Linked DNA regions of Daphnia pulex. The protein of the gene in region 2 interacts with the protein of the main gene of each other region in a pairwise test. Links are inferred from orthologs where the notes say so. Each region holds a gene or a part of one and is shown on either strand. Other genes may lie near its edges. The genes, in order: importin subunit alpha-1-like and nuclear pore complex protein Nup50-like.

The links.
Region 1: the proteins of nuclear pore complex protein Nup50-like (region 2) and importin subunit alpha-1-like interact in a two-hybrid assay, tested with the Drosophila melanogaster proteins (2 studies listed by BioGRID). The link is inferred for Daphnia pulex from reciprocal best matches to the Drosophila melanogaster genes Nup50 and Pen.

What each region holds. Positions count from the first base shown.
Region 1 is NC_060028.1:48,877-53,427, reverse strand, and holds importin subunit alpha-1-like, read left to right. Parts: upstream 1-1,633; 5' UTR 1,634-1,786; intron 1,787-2,019; exon of another isoform or gene 2,020-2,057; 5' UTR 2,058-2,080; coding exon 2,081-2,143; intron 2,144-2,209; coding exon 2,210-2,378; intron 2,379-2,438; coding exon 2,439-2,586; intron 2,587-2,645; coding exon 2,646-2,901; intron 2,902-2,958; coding exon 2,959-3,511; intron 3,512-3,575; coding exon 3,576-3,853; intron 3,854-4,034; coding exon 4,035-4,136; 3' UTR 4,137-4,381; downstream 4,382-4,551. UniProt on the Drosophila melanogaster protein: Binds specifically and directly to substrates containing either a simple or bipartite NLS motif. Promotes docking of import substrates to the nuclear envelope. Seems to act as a cytosolic receptor for both simple and bipartite NLS motifs.
Region 2 is NC_060026.1:3,791,282-3,795,449, forward strand, and holds nuclear pore complex protein Nup50-like, read left to right. Parts: upstream 1-1,457; 5' UTR 1,458-1,520; intron 1,521-1,586; 5' UTR 1,587-1,596; coding exon 1,597-1,755; intron 1,756-1,937; coding exon 1,938-2,650; intron 2,651-2,712; coding exon of another isoform or gene 2,713-2,719; coding exon 2,720-2,854; intron 2,855-2,917; coding exon 2,918-3,236; 3' UTR 3,237-3,425; downstream 3,426-4,168.

The DNA.
Region 1 (4,551 bases), on a different chromosome or scaffold from region 2:
GATGTTGTTGATTTAACAGTTGTCTTGGCAGTTGTTGTTGGTGTCTTGCTGGTGGTCGTTGCAGGTGTTGGTTTCTTGGTTGTTTGGGCCTCCTGTTTCGTGCATCATCAAATAATAATGCGCCACATTATGTTCAATTAAAAAAGAGACGTGGAACAGATTGAAACTTAAACGAGAAATGTCAAAACAACTCACCATGGCGACAACCAGGCAGACGGCAACCAGAAGGAAGAGAATCGGAAGGAACTTCATTTTTTATCTAGGAGATCAGACGTGGGGGTTTAGGAATTCAAACGCCCAAGTGGGTCGTCATTTTATAGTCGAGCCGCATTTTTCTATGTCGATTATTTAAGTAGCGCCAGTTGAACTATCGGATTCAAATGAAACTTGACAATTTACGAGGGGCTGGAAAATGATTGGACGTGATACGAATGTGTTGGAATAAACACCAACTGCAACACCAACTTTGCAGGGTCGTTGTAATCCAGTTGAACCGATGACGGGAGTTGCAGCTGTTCACGTTGGATTTCTCCGTTTCTTTTGGAACTGCCCGGCGGATTGCAACTAATTGTGGGGAAATTGGAAATGAAAAGGAATTTTAGAGTCTATTAGCACACGTGACCTAATCACAGAATATGATTAGTTTTTAAGAAACGTATAGACTGAAAAATGTGTTTAACGTATTACGTGCACACTGTCCAGCACGGATTTTACGACCACCTGTGTCGGAATTAGCGATTCCAACTGAACTATATTTGGTACGCTCTGTTGATCAAACTTGTCGAAAGGCTAAACGGTCCCCTCTTGCAGTCGGATGAAACTGATTTTTAAAAATAAAAGTTATTTGCCTGCCACTGATTTAATAAATTAAATGAAATAAGATATATAACTTGAATTCACAACTGTTAGTGTTTAAAGCAATTAAAACGTTTTAATTTCTACAGAAAGTTTAGAGATCAGACAAGAGACATTGTAAATCTAAATTTCATTCTGTATGTTTGGTATCACAGCTAGGCCTACCTCATTTCGTTAGGAAGATGTATTAAAATGAAGTTTCTTCCATACTTTATCTGTTGATTCTGTTCACACTGATTTTGGATGATACTCTTACAACTGATGGAAAATTTGGTCTGAAAAATATTTGAAAATTTAGTATAAATTAATTTGGGTTGTGGGAGAAAACTTTTCTTTCTTCCAGATGGCAGTCTAAAGTTTAAGCTTTCAGGAATCGGCTGGCACTGGCTGGTATTCAAATTTTTGCCACTTTTTTAGTTTGGAAAACAGTTTTATATAAATTGAATGTTCAAGATTACTGGATCTATATTTGTATAACTTCTTCCTGCCAACATAAAAATTGTTGATGCTAGTTTTATGAAAACTGTTTAAACCAGGGGAGAGATCTCTGACACTGTCATTTGGACATCATCATACATCATGTTCTTAAAGAAAGACTTCCAACAGATCATTAAGTCAGAAGGTTAATTAATGAGAAATCCTATGGTAACAAATTCTTATTAAAATCAATTATCAATTTCAGTTAAATTCTATTATGACCAGCTCCATCGGCGTTTTTCATTTTCTGCTTATTTTGAAATTTTAAATTTTCTCGTCTGCTTATACGTTGCCAGATTTGATCCCATTCCGATTGCATCAATGAATAAATTTGGCAACAGGCAACGGTTAGGTTTGAAATTCCCTCCCCCTTCTTCTTCTTCGTCGTCTGGAATTCTCTTAGCGATCAAACGGTCACCATTCATCAATTGATTCTTGCTCACAAGTCCCGCAGGTAATTCCTCTCTCTATTAATTTTCAATTTTTCTGACATTCCCACGTGGAATAATAGTTTACTTCTTGCTTCGACTATAACAAATTGTGAAATAATGGTATGAGTCATCATTGACACATTTTTAACGACTGCCATAGTCTGGGAAATTTTGCACGTGGCGCGGGAAATTTTTTCTCTTTGTTGCTTCATTGTCTCGAGTCCCATTTCTCATTTTTCTTTTGTCATTGTGCCAGATTTGAAAATCCCTTTTAGAATTCTCTTTCTTTGACAGCTGGAGTAAATTACACTATCACAATGCCTACTGAAGCAAATCCCAGCCGGTTGAAGGACTTCAAGAACAAAGGCAGAGATGTTGAGGTAAATACCTTAAAATAACTAGTGTCAGTTCTCAAATGTAACAGATTTTTCATCTTTCTTGTTCAGGAAATGAGGAGGAGACGTACAGAGGTGAATGTTGAGTTGCGGAAAGCCAAGAAGGAAGATCATTTGTTGAAGAGACGTAACCTTGAAATCGATGATGAGCCCCTCAGCCCACTCCAAGAACAGAATCGGATGGCTGCAGCAAATATGAGCATTGAGGACATAGTCAATGGTATGTGTGCATCAGTTTTTATTTCTGAGTTGCTTCTCATATGTTTTTCATTATCGTTAGGTATCAACAGTGGTGATGAGAACAAGGAGATCACTGCAACCCATGCTGCCCGTAAAATCCTCAGCAGGGAACGTAATCCACCCATTGACATCCTCATTAATGCAAATGTTGTTCCGAAGCTGGTGGAGTTTCTCAGTCGTGTCAGCAAGTATGTCAAGTGTCTCTTTTGGTTTTTGAACATTTCCTAATGGTCTTTCTTTGTTTCAGCCCCGATCTGCAGTTTGAGTCAGCCTGGGCTCTCACCAACATTGCTTCAGGCACATCTGACCAGACAAAGGCTGTCGTCAGTGCTGGGGCTGTCGCTGGCTTCATTTCCCTGTTGGGGTCACCTCATCCAGTTGTGGCAGAGCAAGCTGTTTGGGCTCTGGGTAACATCGCCGGAGACGGACCAGAGCTTCGTGATCACGTCATCGAGCAAGGCATTATCAAGCCTCTGCTTACTTTGATTAAACCTGATACTTCGGTGAGTTTTATTTTAAATTTACGTTCGTGTGCAGTTGTTAATTGATTTGATCTATAGGCCACATTCTTGCGTAATGTCACTTGGACTTTGTCCAACTTGTGTCGTAACAAGAATCCTCCGCCCAGTGTCCCTGCCGTCCGGCAACTGCTTCCCGCATTGGCCCACCTGATCCACAACAACGACAAAGAGATCCTCGCCGATGCTTGCTGGGCTCTTTCTTACCTCACCGATGGCCCCAACGAACGGATTCAGGAGGTTGTCGACGCCGGTGTCGTCCCACGGCTGGTCGCTTTGCTGGACCACGTTGAGGTGGCCGTGATCACCCCCACTCTGAGAACAATCGGGAATATCGTTACAGGAAGTGACATTCAGACCGATTCCGTCCTGGCTGCTGGTGCCTGCCCGTTGCTGGCCAAGTTACTCGTTCATGCTAAGATGAACATCGTCAAGGAGGCTGCCTGGACCGTGTCCAACATTGCTGCCGGCAATGCCATCCAGATTCAGGCTCTCATCACCAACAATGTTATTCGTCCGTTGGTGGATGTGCTGGGCAAAGGTGACTTCAAATGCCAAAAGGAGGCAGCTTGGGCCATCACCAACATCACTTTAGGTAACTTATTTCATTTTTACTGGTGTTTTATTGATTTTTAATTGATTTTTCTTATTCATTTCAGGTGGCAATGTGGAGCAGATCGCCTTGTTGTGCCAGTTTGGTGCCATCGCTCCGCTGTGCACTTTGCTGGAGGCAAAGGAACCCAAGACCATCTTGGTCGTGCTGGATGGATTGGCTAATATTTTGGCCGCAGCTGAGAAAATGGGTGAATTGGAGAAAGTTTCCCTTCACGTCGAAGAGTGTGGTGGTCTGGACCGCATCGAAGCTCTGCAGAGCCACGACAATGTTGAAATCTATCACAAGTCATTGGCCATTCTGGAGCAGTACTTCTCAACTGACGTAATTTATTCTTTTTTTATTGTTTCTTTTTTTGGGTTTATTTCAATGATTACCACAACTGTTCACATTCATAGTGTTTGTGCTGACAACTTAACCATTACTGAGATTTTAGAAAATTAGTTTTATTTTGAAATAGTGTTCTTGAATTTGATTTAATCGTTTTTGTTTGTTATTTCGACAGGGGGATGAAGATTCCGAGTTGGCGCCATCTACATCGCAGAGTGGCAATTACGAATTCAACAACTCGCCATCTCAAGCCCCCGAAGGAGGTTTCTCATTCTAAATTTTGTATAATCTAAAAATTCTTTTTGATTTTTTTCTGCCTTTACAACGGTAAATATATTCTTCACTTTCTTGAACGCTATCCTAATCATGAGTTTTGGCCTTTTCTTATTTCAAAGTTTTTTTCTAAATTGTTTTTTAATTGAAAGTTGCCATTTGCTTTCATTTCTGTCCATGCACGACGTCTTCTTTCCTCTTTCTCAATGCGCGATAAACGAGCAATACAAAACAACTCGATCAACTCTACATTTGATAAGTTTTGATTTTGTCGTGCTAGTTTTTATTTTTTGTATTTCAAGTTGATTTCCTGATTCCAGGTTGTTGGCTGCTTACAGTTAATCCGTGTTCTGACATTTGTAGATAATTTCCACATCAAAGTTTCATTTCTACGTTGACATTTAACCCTAACAGATACT
Region 2 (4,168 bases):
CGTGGGGTTTTCGTTTGCTCGTCCGTCGCAGAAGGAGAAATTAGATAATTGTAGATAAATAATACCAGTTCTCGAAAGATGTTAATATAACCGAAATGGTGTTGGTTCAAACTTTTTTTTTTCCATCGGCGATCTAGTTGGGTTATCTCCTTGTATACATTTTGGCGCTATTCGTCTTCTAGCTCGTTGAGATTTCATCGTAACCTTTTTTTTTTCTTTTAGAGTATTTCAGTTGGGCCGTCCTCCAGCGTGTGCAGCCAATTGAAGATCATCATATTCCTCATGTATTTTGACAGTGGCCGGCATTGATCACGTTCGACGTCGTTGAGAGTGAGGGCGCTTTTGATCCATGTGGCATCCAGCGGAGATGAATTACCGCCAGATCCGGCTTTGGCACTCAACGACTCCTCACCGCTTCCGAAAGGCTGACACTGTGACTGCTCCGACTGCATCGTCAGATCCACCTGGCCACTGGCCGCCTCGGCAACGACGGCAATCTGATCGAGATTAAACTGGCTCTGCGACAGACGCTCCAGCGCCTTGTAAGCTGTCAGGAGCCGGGGAAGTTTTTGTATGTTATACATTATCACTGGGGCACTAGCACTACACAAGCGACACCAAATGGGATTTGTTGGCAACTTATCAACGATAAGTTATTATCTTTGTAAGGACCATTGTGAGTGACTGACACAGGCCGGTGCGATTTTTTATTTGAAAGTCGTTTGGATTTAATTGACTTGTATTGTGTAGTAGGGTGATACACACCCGGACATTTTTTTGCGGTAAACCAATTTTACGAAATTCAATTTTTGCTTGCGATTTCTTTCTTTCTTTTTGGGCTGTTGTTGTTTTCTTTTTGTATTTATTTTTTAAATTGCGTACTAGTTATGGATATTGACATAATTCAAGTACTCCCGTTATTTGAAGATTTTGCCCTTTCTATCTTTTCTCATGTAAAATCCAAATCCGTGCCTTTCAGTCAAATTTATGTTCTTATTTGATTCGAGTGCACTGTTCTTTGTGATTCTTGTTCGGCTCATGTTAGACTATGCGTTCCTCTAGAAGGTTTCTTCATTTATTACCATTCGACGACAAGTGCTGGAGATTACACCAAGGTGACGGTCTTGGGCGGCAACACCCGCACTCATATTGTCACTCATTTACTGCCCGAGACGCACTACGATCTGAAGATGCAGTCCTTCAACATGCAGGTACCCGTTCAGCAGCAAACTTTCGTTTACATTTCTATCCCACCCATGGAATGTCGTGAAGTATAATTTCTCTTCCACTTTGACTTTGCCGTGAGCTGGGTACGTCTGAATTCTTCTTAGGTAAATTATCGGCAATTTTTAGGCTATTCACTCATTGAATGGAATTTTATTTATATTCTCGAAAGATGGGTACGACCTCGAGTAAACGATGTTTAAAAAAAATGTCTGGCAACATTGTTGCCAGACAGTGTTGCCAGAATTTTTTTTCACTGGCTCGAATCGTGTGAAAATCGTGTGAAACCGGAAATTGTAATTTACTTTCAGTTTTAAATTGTAAGAGTAAGACTCCGTTCAGTTGACTTATTAACCCAACAGGTAACTTCAAATGGCTAAGCGTACGGCGACTCGAGAATTAAATCACGACAACTGGAATGACGAAGAAGAGGAGGAGGAGGCGGGAAGCTTCCAACAGGCTTCGGACGAGGCATTAAAGGGCCGTGTGATTAGACAAGCAAAAAGAAGGATTGCAGGCAATGATGGAGAGGTAATTTATTGTGCTAAGTAACAATCTAGTCAATTGGTTAACTAGTATTTAAGTGTGTCAGATGTTTTCCACATATTTCTCAGGTTTTTTTGTAACCAGGTTTGAATGAATGACAGAACTACAACCGTGTTCCCAATTCCAGAATATTTTTTTACAGCGTGTTTTATTTTATTCCCTTACAGGCGAAGAAGGGTTTTTCTGGGTTTGCTGGTTTTGGAGTTCGCACAGGTTCTGAACCCAGTAAAGCATTCTCCAACTTTGCTATCAAAGTACCAACTACTGTAGAAACAGGCAAGACAGAAAATGGAGAAAAGACACCAACTGATAATGGGGCTAATGAAAAAGAGTACCTTGCCAACCTAAAGTCTCTGAATGAGACTGTTACAACATGGATTACAGACCATGTAAAAAAGAACCCATGCTGTGTACTCACTCCCATCTTTCGAGATTATGAAAAGCATTTGAAAGATCTAGAATCCAAACGAGCTTCACCATCTTCAAAAGAAAACATGACTACTGAACCTGGCAAGATTGACAGTGAGAAGCTTGAAGACAAGAAATTCCAATTTGGTTCTGCATCAGCAGAAGCTCCAAAACCCTCTTTCAGTTTCTTCGGCAATGGGTCGACAGTTTCTACACCGGCCAAACCACCCTCAACATTTTCATTCGCTAGCTCAACGCCGACAACAGCACCATCGATTTCAACTTTTTCCTTTGGCGCCCCTGCTAAAAGTGATCAAGAATCAAAGACTCCGTTATCGACATTTTCGTTCAAGGCATCCAGCACTAGTTCAACCACTAGTCCACCTTCTACCGGCGGGTTGTTTGCCTTTTCCGGCACTAAACCTGCTGCTACTACTACTACCGCACCAGCCTTTTCGTTCGGGTTTTCTAGGTAGTAATCCAACAAATCAATTTTTCATTTTAATGTCTTTAATTCGTATTATTATCTTTGTGTTTCTAGTACTAAGCCGGCAACAGAAGTGAAAAAGGAAGAAGCGGAAGGTGGTAAAGACGGCGAGGAAGGAGAAGATGAAGACGTTCCACCTAAAGTGGAAGTTAAAGAAGTCAAAGAGGAAGACGCCTTCTATTCTATAAGGTACAAATTTTACTTTTATTGGCTTATTTTTTGTGTTTTAACGCTAACATTTTTCCCGCTCAGATGTAAACTGTTTTACAAAAAGGATGCCAATTACACGGAAAAAGGTGTTGGCACAATCCATCTAAAGAAAGTCAAGGACGATAAAACGCAACTGGTGATCCGTGCCGATACCTCGCTGGGCAACATTCTTCTAAACATCATTTTAAACCCACAAATAACGACCCAGCGAATCGGCAAGAATAATGTCATGCTGGTTTGCATTCCCAACCCGCCTATTGATCCAAAAACGCCGCCTGTCCCGACACCCATGCTCCTTCGTGTGAAGACGGACACTGAAGCCGATGAACTCTTGGCCAAATTGAACGAAGCAAAAAAATGATCGACTTGGGTCAGTCATGCATAATTTGAGTTCTTTTTGTTTCTTCCATTTTCTTGTGATCCCCCATTTCACTATTTTATTCATTCAATTATTTTTTTACGATCTGTACAATAACAATCCCCGTTTGAGACGACCGTGATTTCACCACAGGCAAATTTCAAATCAAATTCAATACAAGTAAGAACCTAATATGTAGTTTCTTTTCTTTTTATTGTACGGTTGATTCAAAAGAGTGTGGAGTATGCCGTCATCACGAATCACGATGGAATGTCGTATTTATTCCGGACTGACTGGATGGTAACATTCTTGGATGTGAGCCGTGAGCCGACCGAGATTTAATATGTGATCTGGTTTCAGCATTTAGAACTCGAAAGGAGATGACAGACGAGCTCTGCGGAATGGGAAACCATCACGTATTGAGTTATCATAATTTTTTCGTATCAATATTTTCCTGTCCAGTATGTCACTCATCGATCATTTCCAACTTTAGGAGGAAAAAATAGTCAAACCGACTACGCTACGGTTAAGCCCCTTTCACTTGGTATTTTTTTTATTTCTCAAGATTTTTTATGGCTTTACGTCATGGCGTATCAGCGTTCAACTACATGTCTTTATAATCGACTAGTCCCACGAGGGAGAAATAGTATCCAACTGTGTTTGATGTCGTGTTAAGTAAGTCAGTGATGAAGCCATCACGGTAGAATCGGGTTGTAACCGTAGAGGCTAGTAAGCAAACATTGTTATAATTGGTTGATGACTTCTGAATTAATTGCTGATTGTTTTTATTTTGCATTTCTTATAAGAAACAGTATTATCAATCGGTTAAAAAAATAGCCTGGCTGCACTCGTTACAAAGATTAGTGGTGTCTTACTCGTCGGTCTCTTTTTAGACAACCGAACTTTTCTGATCAACAATTTTTATGTTACACATA